3 linked regions of the Pelodiscus sinensis genome follow. The protein of the gene in region 2 purifies or fractionates together with the protein of the main gene of each other region. This does not show direct contact. Links are inferred from orthologs where the notes say so. Each region holds a gene or a part of one and is shown on either strand. Other genes may lie near its edges. The genes, in order: CUEDC1, TOM1 and ZFYVE16.

Evidence for each region.
Region 1: the proteins of TOM1 (region 2) and CUEDC1 purify together in Homo sapiens (co-immunoprecipitation; 3 studies listed by BioGRID and IntAct, with this or other methods). This does not show direct contact. The link is inferred for Pelodiscus sinensis from reciprocal best matches to the Homo sapiens genes TOM1 and CUEDC1.
Region 3: the proteins of TOM1 (region 2) and ZFYVE16 purify together in Homo sapiens (affinity purification with western blotting; 3 studies listed by BioGRID and IntAct, with this or other methods). This does not show direct contact. The link is inferred for Pelodiscus sinensis from reciprocal best matches to the Homo sapiens genes TOM1 and ZFYVE16.

Annotation. Positions count from the first base shown.
Region 1 is NC_134731.1:9,402,508-9,406,254, forward strand, and holds the start of CUEDC1 (CUE domain-containing protein 1), read left to right. Parts: upstream 1-1,460; 5' UTR 1,461-1,809; intron 1,810-2,176; exon of another isoform or gene 2,177-2,298; intron 2,299-3,747.
Region 2 is NC_134711.1:94,115,328-94,119,074, forward strand, and holds the start of TOM1 (target of Myb1 membrane trafficking protein), read right to left. Parts: upstream 2,174-3,747; 5' UTR 2,017-2,173; coding exon 1,965-2,016; intron 1-1,964.
Region 3 is NC_134716.1:81,456,805-81,460,551, reverse strand, and holds the start of ZFYVE16 (zinc finger FYVE domain-containing protein 16), read left to right. Parts: upstream 1-1,562; 5' UTR 1,563-1,719; intron 1,720-3,747.

The sequences.
Region 1 (3,747 bases), on a different chromosome or scaffold from region 2:
TCACACTTTGCAAGGAGGAAGGCTGTGCAGTCCTAAATCTCTGAATCCCTCCTTCAGTGGTTAATTTCAGGGCCATGTTTTTGGTTCATTGTGTTTTCCATAAGTAACCACAACACAATATCATGCCATACAAATATTTGCTCTCAACCACTGTTCCTGGTAAGCTGTGCACTTGTGTAGCCGGCCAGGAGAGACTCCAATTCTGCTCAGCTGATTAGAAGAGCACTCACAGCTAGGTTTTTTGTTTCTACAGGTGATGCACATTTGCACATGCCTCAGTGCACATAAAAATGTATTCTGCACATGGCTGGAAAAGATTAGAGGGAACATTGCTGTCAAGTACAATATAGCACCTACTGCTTAGCAACAGGTCCCGGGAGGTAGGCCCACCTGAATGTTCATCAAGACCAGTGATGGGCAATCTGCAGCCCGAGGGTCACTTGCAGCCCATCAGGGTTCTGTGTACAGACCGCAAGCCATTTTGTTTGCCCCTGCTCGCACGCAGGGTTGCCTGATTCTGCTGGTTTCTGGCCGTGTCATTTTTCCCCCCAATGGATTGCACTAAAAGATGACACACAAAGTAAAGCAAGGACACATGATGAGCACGCCGCACTGACGGCGAGAGCTGGGCGCTCCTTCGGCACCCAGCCAAAGCGCTGCTCCGGTTCAGTGGGCGCGCCCCACGAACGCCAGGTACGCGCAGTGGGCGCACCCCACGAAAGCTAGGTACGCGCAGTGGGCGCACCCCATGAACGCCAGGTACGCGCAGTGGGCGCACCTCACGAACGCCAAGTTCGCGCAGTGGGCGCACCCCACGAACGCCAAGTTCGCGCAGTGGGCGCACCCCACGAACGCCAAGTTCGCGCAGTGGGCGCACCCCATGAACGCCAGGTACGCGCAGTGGGCGCACCTCACGAACACCAGGTACGCGCAGTGGGCGCACCTCACGAACACCAAGTTCGCGCAGTGGGCGCACCCCACGAACGCCAGGTACGCGCAGTGGGCGCACCCCACGAAAGCTAGGTACGCGCAGTGGGCGCACCCCATGAACGCCAGGTACGCGCAGTGGGCGCACCTCACGAACGCCAGGTACGCGCAGTGGGCGCGCCCCACGAATGCCAGGTACGCGCAGTGGGCGCGCCCCACTAATGTTAGGTACACGCAGAGGGCATACCCCACGAGTGCCAGGAACGCGCAGTGGGCGCACCCCACGAATGCCAGGAACGCCAGCGCAATTAGCAAAGCCACCCTAACCCAGCAGCCTAGGCAATGTGGGGCCCCCTGAGAGGAAGGCGGGCCACTTCCACAGCCCACTCCTCGGCCATCGCTGGACCCTGGAGAAGTGGTTTTACCTCAGCCGCCTTCATTGCCCTTCTGTGCCAGGGGGACGGTAGCTCCCTGCCCCATGGGCGCGTCCCCGGCTAGGCACCCCCCCCCCCAGTCAGGAAATCCCAGGGCCCAGCCCCACGGCGGGCAGGGCAAGGGGACTCTCCTCTGCACTTCAGGCAGCCGGCCGCTAGGAAGCCGCCGGGCTGGCCTTTCCCTCCCGCGCTGGCGCTCGAGCCCTGGCCGTTTCCGAGGCGCCCGCCCTCCCCCACTCGCTCCTTCTCCCCAACCGCCCCCCCCCCCCGCCCCCGGCCTCCGAGCTGCGCTGGCGGCGTGCGGGGAGCTGGGAGCCCAACGGCCAGGCAGCTCCTCTCGCGCGCCCGCCCGCCCGCCAACGGCTCCCCGCTCCTCCGGCTGCGGGCGGGCTCGGCGCCCGCCTCTGCCCCGACAGCCCGGGGAGCAGCCGCGGCGGCCGGCAGGCGGGTAAGGAAGGCAGGCGCTGCCCGTCGCGGGGAGGGGGGCTGCCTTTGTGCGCCGAGCCAGCCCGCTCCGCAGGGCAGTGCCAAGGCGGAGCCGGCCGGGCACAGGCCCTCTCCGGGCTGGGCTGTGCCCGCCGCCGCGAGCGGCTTTTCTTAGGGGGGGGGGGGTGATTTTCCAGGCTGTCCCCGCCTGGCCAGGGCGGGATGGGAAGGGGGCGGGGGGAGGTTAGGGTGAGGGGCGCGGCTGGGGTGGGGGGGACTTCTTCAGGCGCGGGGGCACCTTTCCCTTCCTGCGGATCATGGGCTCCGTCTCTGGCACCGCCCCCCCTTAGCTGGCTCCATGCGGGAGCGTCCCCCCCCCCCCGCCCGTTGGATCCCGCTGGGACCCCCGCTTGCAGGGGCGCCCCCCGGGAAGCTTCGCCCTTCTGTCTGCCAGCAGGCGGCTGCCCCCTCCCCCCAACCTCTCCACGCCTTCTCTGGAGCCTGACTCAAGGTTAGCCCGGCTTTATTTACAGGTTGTTCTGAAGCGGCGTTTCTCCGTGTCATTGTGTTGGAAATAGATACAGTTATCACAGACCACCACCAAAAAAAAGAAAAGAAAAAAGTTGCATGAGTGGCAGTCCAGTCCGAAAACCTGGCTTTGGTGTTTTGGCTATGGAGGCAGTCTAGTTTTAGAACTCGGGCTGTTGGTTTTCATTGGTGACAGCAGAGGAATGAGACATGTTTTAAGGAGGGGAAGAAGTTGCCGTGTTGTTCATTGTTGCTATGTCTTCGAGGCGTACTCCTGCCCATTTAAGATCAACTGATCAAGTAACCTGTGCGTTTTCTATCACCTTGGACTAGTGCGTTGCTAATGGTTGCTAAAAGTTGCCTTTTAGTAAATACAGACGTTCAGTCATGTGGCAAATGGACTTATTCATATTTTCCACATCTGAAGAGGTGGGTTTTGCCCATGAAAGCTCATGATACTCTATGGCTACGTCTACACTGGCCCCTTTTCCGGAAGGGGCATGTTAATTTCAGAGATCGTAATAGGGAAATCCGCGGGGGATTTAAATATCCCCCGCGGCATTTAAATAAAAATGTCCGCCGCTTTTTTCCGGCTTTTAGAAAAGCCAGAAAAGAGCGTCTACACTGGCCCCGATCCTCTGGAAAAAGCGCCCTTTTCCGGAGGATCTTATTCCTACTTCAAAGTAGGAGGAATAAGATCCTCCGGAAAAGGGCGCTTTTTCTGGAGGATCGGGGCCAGTGTAGATGCTCTTTTCCGGCTTTTCTAAAAGCCGGAAAAAAGCGGCGGACATTTTTATTTAAATGCCGCGGGGGATATTTAAATCCCCCGCGGATTTCCCTATTACGATCTCTGAAATTAACATGCCCCTTCCGGAAAAGGGGCCAATGTAGACGAGCCCTATATGTTTGTTTGTCTCTTCTAAGGTGTCACAGGACCACTGGTTGTTTTATTCAATGTTTTGTTTGCTTTCCAGTTGTACTCTTATGGCCCAAATAGTTTCTAATTGCCTGAATCACCTTAAGCCAATCAGAATGCTGCATTTGTTACTGTACTGCTGTTGCACATTTGTTTGTCCTGACAAAGTAACACACCATGAAACCATATGTTAGGCTATAAATAAAGTAATTGCTGTAGGATAAATGTGTGCCACCCTTACAATATATATGGTCAAATTGCTGTCAAAAGCTTCTGATGAAATACTGTCTTTGCCATGGTGTTGAGTAAGTGATATGAAACCATTATCCTGCAACATAATTGCATGGATGGTCCTATCTCAATGAAATTGTTTTCATTCAATCAGGTCACCATATGGTTGACCTATATATCTGGATTAAAAACCAAAATTTCAGCAACAAAAATGTGATGTATTCAGGGAAAAATACAGTGAAAGTCTTGTAGTAGGTAAATGAAGATAGATTTTTAGTTCCAGTT
Region 2 (3,747 bases):
GTAAACAAGCAAAGGACCAGAAACCAAGGACAGACTTACTCCCCCGCCCAGAGATACAAGGTTTCCCTGAAAAAGTAAAAAATATTACACCATACAAGCAGATAAAGTCTTTATAAAAATCATTCTACATTAAAACTTTGTTAAATACTTTTAAAAACGTATTTTTCCCTTCCAGCTTTGTTTCTCCAGTCCTTCTTTGTACTTTCTCTCAATTTTCCAATTTCTTGTTGTTTTAGTTTATTGTATATTAGTTTCCTCCCTTTCTTTAGTTAAACTCAACCAAAAGACTAAGAAGAATGCTGTTCTTTCTAGATTTGCAAGGTCTTATACTGGATCAGATCCTATTTATCTGGAAGTTCTTAGATGCATTTATGCCTTTGATATCTTGCCTTCCTAAAAACTTGATAGGGCAGGGAATAATTCATCTATTCATAAAGCACTGGGGTAAAACCATGGTGCTATAGAAAAGGCCCCAATCTTTCAAAAACTCTGGCTAATAATTAATTCAATTAGTGGAAATCAATATATTGCTGAAACATAACGGCTGTGTCTAGACTGGAAAGATTTTCCACAAAAGCAGCTGCTTTTGCGGAAAAACTTGCCAGCTGTCTACACTGGCCGCTTGAATTTCCACAAGAACACTGATGATCTCATGTAAGATTGTCAGTGTTCTTGCGGAAATGCTATGCTGCTCCCGTTCAGGCAAAAGCCCTCTTGCGCAAATGGCGATTGGGGCTTTCTTGCAAAAAAGTGCTTTTGCGGAAAAGCATCCGTGCCAATCTAGACGCTCTTTTCCGCAAATGCTTTTAACAGAAAAACTTTTCTGTTAAAAGCATTTGCGGAAAATCATTCCAGTCTAGACGTAGCCAACATGTTTACACTGAATAAGCCCATTCTTCAGATGAGGAAGATGCCCTAATTAAAAGAGTTCAGTTAAACAGATTAGAAAATGCAAACAAAACCTCCCTGTTAAAAATTCCAGATTTTTGCCAAAGCTTTCCATGGATTTCTAACAATGCTGATCACGGGTCTTGGGGCCGGGGAGAGAGGGAGGGAGAAGACTAACTCCACAAGGAGATGGAGGGTGCAAGGAGCTCAGTAAGAATTAGCCTGAACAGTGAGGCCAGGTACATGTGGTTATTAGTGTCATAAACTTAGCGAAGCATGTACAACCCTTGCCCTGAAGAGCTAACTGTGAAGCCAGAATAAGTACGTGTTCTTCCCCTCCAAACTAGCAGGGACACCACCCAGGTCATTGCACTGATGGGGATGGGTGGCTCCAAGGGCAGGGAGCAGATTACAGTTCCCCTGGTACCTGCTCTCCTCCCTACAACTGACACCCACAGGCTGTTCCCCAAGAACCCTTCTGCTGCTGCTACAGCCACCTCTACTTGACGTGGGAGCACAGGCAACACTCAGTTAGTTGCCTGTAGTCCCTGCTAGGGTGCCCATTGTAGTTGGACATATTCCTGGAGGTTCCATCACATGACAAGTAACATCTGTGACTGCACAGTACTAGGCTTCAGCTGCTGCAGACTCTCGGGCGCTCCGGGGGAGCTGGCAACCCTAGTCCGGGTTGTTATTGTAGGGTCGCCAGGGTCAGGGGGAGGCCTCGCGGTGCTGTGACGCGGCACATCCATCCGCAGCCCCCGCCGCCTCGCACAGGGCTCGGCTCTGGCCACCGGGCCCCTTTAAATAAGAAAACTTCCGAGACCCCCGTGCACGGGGATTGGCTGGCCCCATGGCCCCCCCGTGGCCCGCCTTCCCGCCTGCCCCCATTAGCCGCCGGCGCTCGTCAGTCAAATCAGTCTCGCCTCTCTATTGGCCGGAACTGTGTCAATCCTGCGAGGAGGCTGTGGGACCCGCCCAGCCGCGCGCGCCTACCCAGCTGCTGTCGCTGCTGCTCCCCAGAGGAGGGGGCTGACTTGGCGGGGGGAGGGGGCGAAGGGGGCAGAGGGACTCACCGATGCGCTGCCCCACAGGGGAGCTGAAGGGGTTGCCCAGGAGAAAGTCCATCGCCGCCGCCGCACGGCCCGGTATCAGCTGACACGGGCGCCCGTCACGTGACCCCCCCTCGGGCTCGGGACGGGGTGTGCCTGGCCGCCCCGCCTACGCGTGACGAAAGCAGGCGGCGTTCTGTCCTTCCAGGGCGTGCCCGGCGGAGAGCGCCGGTCTGCGGGAGGCGCGGAGGGAGGGGCGGGCCCGTAGCACAAGCGGACACTGTGACGTCACAAAGCTAGGCTCGTGACCTCACACTATGTCGTCACTGCAGAGGCAAATATGCTACAGGCTTACCAGGGGACTGTGAAATAAGCTCTTTACTCCTCGTCCCCTACCTACCCCCCCCCCCCCATCGACCTGGCCGCTCCTACCTGAGTTTTATCTGCTCCTACACGTGACCCTCCATCCCCCCCTTTTCCCTCACCCACAAAGACCTCATGGCCCTGTTCTCCCCCACCTCAAGGAGTAGATTAGGCATCATCTGACCCCACCTCCATGCTACATGTGGATTAGAGCACAGCAGAACTCTCCTACACAAGGGATATTCTTCCTCTCACCTGTTTTAGACTAGTAATAGAGATGTAGCCCTGCTAGTCTGCTGCAGGTGAAACAAAAAACAGGACTATGTAGCACTTTAAAGACTAACAAGATGGTTTATTAGGTGATGAGCTTTTGTGGGCCAGTCCCACTTCCTCAGATTTGATCTAATAAAGCATCTTGTTAGTCTATAAAGTGCTACGTAGTCCTGTTTTAGACTGTGGGTCTAAAGGCTTTCATTTTCCTGGTGAAGGCATAATATGGGGCAATAATGAACCCGGGGTCACCTCATCACATTACAATGCCCCCAAATAATTCAAGATCCAGTAAAAGACAAATAATTAGGTTTATTCAGTATAGAAAAGGGAAGACAAAGCGGGGACATGATAGCCGTTTTCAAGTATCTAAAAGGGTATTACAAGAAGGGAGAAAAATTATTCTCCTTAACCTTTGATTATAGGACAAGAAACTTAAATTGCAGCAAGGTTTAGGATGGACATTAGGAAAAACTTCCTGTCAGGATGAATAAGCACTTCCCCCAGTGCTGGTGCTGCCTCTGTGGGAGGCAGCTCTGAGGGAACCAGCACCAGTTCCCACCTCTCCTCACATTACCTCTGATACAGAGCAGCAAACTGGGGTTGTGCATGTAGTCATTTGGAGTAACCGGTAAATGCAGGCTTATCAGTTAATCATGTAAAAAAATGATAAACTAACATCTTATGTGACAGTAGGAGGAAAGGACAACCACCTGCAGCATGTATGTTTCTGCCTATATATGTTAAATAGCTCTCAAAGTAGAACATAAGGCAGTGGTTTTCGTGGAATCGTGAAATGTGTTTTGGTAGGTGGTTAAGTATTTTAAAATTTCTCTCTTGTCAACTTGTGTTGAAATATAAGGAGGGTTAGTGAAGTGTCATATTCTGCAATATCAAGGGTTGACAGGTTGACAAACTATCACAAGTTTTGAGGCTGAAACTGACCCATGAGTTTCTCAACTGAAAACAGAATTTTTAAAGACTATGACAATATGTACTATTCCTGTTTTTTCTGTAACAGGCAGTTTTACCATACTGATCCTGAACCACCAGTACTATTTTGCTTGCAACACAAATCCAGTTGCAGGGAGGATCCCAGGGGCAGAAATATGGCTCAACATTGGGACATTTGCAATGCTAGATGACAGCTCTCAGGCATGTCTCTCACTGATGC
Region 3 (3,747 bases), on a different chromosome or scaffold from region 2:
TGGCAGAGACCAAGGTTGCAATAGGACACAGGAGCGGATATAGGGCAGGGCGAACGGGGCGGCCGCCCAGGACCTCGCGCTTAAAAAAGCCCTGCGCATGCGCCGTGGCGCCACCGCGTATGCGCATGGCGTCACGGCGCATGCGCCGTGGCAAAGGGGGGACCCCGTGGAGTTACGCTGCCTGGGGCCCCGCAAAACAGTCATCTGCCCCTGATAGGACGGTACCTGTAAGAAATGTGAAGTTATTTTCACTGCTGATGGCCAATTTGAATCACCTAGGCTATGTCTACACTCGCGGCTTCTTGTGCGAGTAATATGCAAATGAGGTAAGCGTGGAATATCGCCAAGCCTCATTTGCATACCTAATGAGCCACCACTTTCAGAAGAAGCTCTTGCTCAAGAAGGAGTGTCTACACTACTCCTTGCGCAAAAAAAACATCTTGCGCAATGCCGTTATGCCTATTACTTTTCAGGAAACAGGCGTAATGGCATTGTGCAAGAGAGTTTTTCTTGTGCAAGAAGGGGCAGTGGAGACGCTCCTTGCGCAAGAGTCTCTTCTGAAAGTGGTGGCTCATTAGGTATGCAAATGAGGCTTGGCGATATTCCACGCTTAGCCTCATTTGCATATTACTCGCGCAAGAAGCCGCCAGTGTCGACATAGCCCTAGTGTCTCATTTTTCATATAGTAGAGCACAACTCCTATTGACTTCTCCTGTAGCTGTAAATAGAGAAGAACAGTGAGAATTCGGGGTTTTGGTTTCCACACCAGATTCAGTATACTAGTGTGCTCTAATGTTCACAGATTTTTTGCCTCTCTCTCAGCCAACCCTTCTCCCTGTTTTGTCCCCCCCCCCCTCCCCGCTCCTAAACTCTGGCTAAGGCTCTATTCTAGTCCCTTCATCCAGTCTTTCCTAATCTCCCCTCTTCTCCTCCCCGTTTCCTTGCCCAGGGGCAGGGACCCTTGAAAAAATAGTTATCATCATGCAATTACAGTCTGCATCACTAAACATTCACACATAGGGAACAAAATAAGGGCGTACAGACAATCCTAATTGCGGCAATTTCTAATGTGCTTTGAGTTTGAAACCCGTTCCGACTAGTCTTTTAACATAGACTTTGGTGCATAATTTATACTGAAACTGTTTACTCCGAGTTACAGGAACTGAGGGCTTCTCCTCCTACTAATCTTGCACTGACATTTTGACAGCTGCTGTAGCGAAGCCATGCCCAGTGCTGTGAGGGCCCTCGGAGATCAGTTTCCCTGTGTGTGCCACTAAGCCCATTAATGACATTTTAACTGACCGGGTGTGAGAACAGAGCGGTGACCCGTCTGGAGTCAGCTGCCCCGCAGCAGCAGTACATCTGGAACTGAGGGCTGATTTTGCTAAGGGAGCCCAGTCGCTCAGCTCTGCAGCGCCTCCTGTGCCCGGGCGTGGCTCTGTGGGCGCAGCAGGAGACTCTCGAGGAACTCGACTCACGGGAGCCAAAACTGTCCCCCCCCCCCCATAAAAGGGAAGAGGAGGATTCTGCGCAAGCGCAGAAATGACGTTCCAAGGAACGGTCGTAGCCTCCGCCTGGCCAAGGAGAGCCGGGCTCTGCGCATGCGCGGAGAAACCCGAGCGAGTCCCGTGAAAACGCAAACAAGCGGCGGTGGCTGTCGCTTTCTGCAGGGCCGCCGTCCTGGAGCCAGCGGGGGAGGGGCGCCTGCCTATCTATGCGGTGAGTGAGGCGGCGCAGGGCCCAGGCTCCTGGCGGGGGACCCGGGAGGGGGGGATCGGCCCTTTGTGTTGAGGGGCAGCGAAGAAGCTTCCCTGACCCGGGTCGCGCCGCGTCTTTGGGGCGGGGCCGGGCCTCTCCCCTCCCCTCCCCCCTATTATAGTGGGGAGACGGGAGTTCCGCCCGCCCTGAGGGGCCTGTGGGGCAGGCAGGGCGCGTCCCGGCGGGACGGGGGTGGTGGGGACCGGGTGGGGGAGAGTCAGGGGGCGAGACTCTTCGCAACTTGCTGTGCTTCGCTCGTTGGACTGGCCAACAGCCCCGGGAAAGCTGCCCCAGTGGGTGCGCGCCCCTGGCATTGTGTCCGTGTGTGTGTGGGGGGGTCTGTCTGTGCCGCCTCGCCTCCCTAGCTTGCCCCAGGCCTGGGCTCTCCCTTCCACCTTCGTGCAGGCTTTTGAATGTCCCCAGTGCAGGGAGACCCCTGACTGCTGCGGGATCACAGGATAATGTTTCCTGTTCTTTTTCTTTGTGGCCCCAGTTTCAGCTGGCTTCTCTTTCTTACAGCACTTAGGCTACAGTGGTTCCTAAACTTTTTGGCATCATGCCCCCTTTTTGAGAAATCCTGAGGCCTCCTCCCCCCAAGACAGCAGGAAAACTTAAGCCAAAAAAAAAGAAAAGAACTGACCAGGGCAGCGAAACTTGATGGGGTGGAAGGGCTGGGTTGCCTCGCACCCTCACTGAAATTTCTTTACACGTCCCCCCAAGGGGGCACGCCACCAGTTTGGGAACCCATGATAGACTATAAGCCTCTTTCAAAAAATCTGTGTGTAGTTTACACCCTCTCTTTCGAAAGTCTAGACGCTTTCTTTCGAAAAAGCACAGTTTGCATTCAATAGTGCCTTTTTCCTCATAGAATGAGGTTTACCACGATTGAAAAAACTGCCGCGTTCTTTCAATTTACTTTTGAAAGAATGCAGCTGCAGTCTAGACACAGGTGATTTTTTTTTCACGAAAACCCTGTAGTCTAGACCAGTGTTTCCCAATTTTATTTGGCCATGGAACCCCTTTCAGAATTTCAAGGAACCCCTAGGTTTGTTAAGAAAAAAAAAGGGGGGGGGCGATTCATAAAAATCACATTCCTTCCCCAAGACCCCGCACCCCTTCCTTGAGGCCTCATTCTCTCTGTTCCCCTCCTCTCCATCACTTGCTGTCCCCAGCCCTTATATACTCTCACTAGGTTGAGACAGGAAGTGCAGGCTCTGGGGTGGGAATGAGAGATTTGGGTGTGGGAAGGGGTGAGAATTCTAAGCTGTGGGAGGGAATTTGGATGCAGGAGAAGGGGATGTTGGCCTGGGGAGTGTTGGGCTCAGGTGGAAAGTTGGGGTGCTGAGCAAGCCATGGGCTTGTGGATGTGAGGGTGCAGGAGTTTGGGCTGGATATGTGAGGGGCTCAGGGCAGGAGGCTGTGAGTATGATGAGCTCAGGACACAGATTTGTGATGTGTGAATGGTGCAGGAGTGTTGTGGCAGAAGACTGAGGATGTGGGGGTGCAGGAATTTGGAGATGTAAGAGTCTCAGGACAGGGGGGTTCCAGTGTTATGATAGGCTCAGATTTGGGGTCAAGTGGTGCAGGAGTGTTACGGTACTGCAGTGAGATGGGGGTTTGGCCCCTGTTGGTCAGGCTTCATTTCTAAATAAAATATTGTGTTAATCTCAAAAGTTTTTAGCATTGTCTTTATTTACGAGAGGGGTGAGGAACCAGGAAAGTCAGTCCCGAAAGCCTCTAAGCCTTACTAATGTGGTCCCAACTGTGCTAGTGGGTGCTGGAGCTGGGGAGAGGGTGCTGCTGGGTGTCAGGATGCTGGCTCAGGTGGCGGGGTGCTGGGGTCAGGGACATGGTCCTGCTGGGCACTGAGGTGGCTGGCAGGGTGCTGGCATAAGGAACAGGGTGCTGCTGGGTTCTAGGGGGGATGGCAGGGTGCTGGGGCTGGGGCCAGGGCCAGGGTGGTGCTGGGTCCTGGGGTGGGTGGCAGGG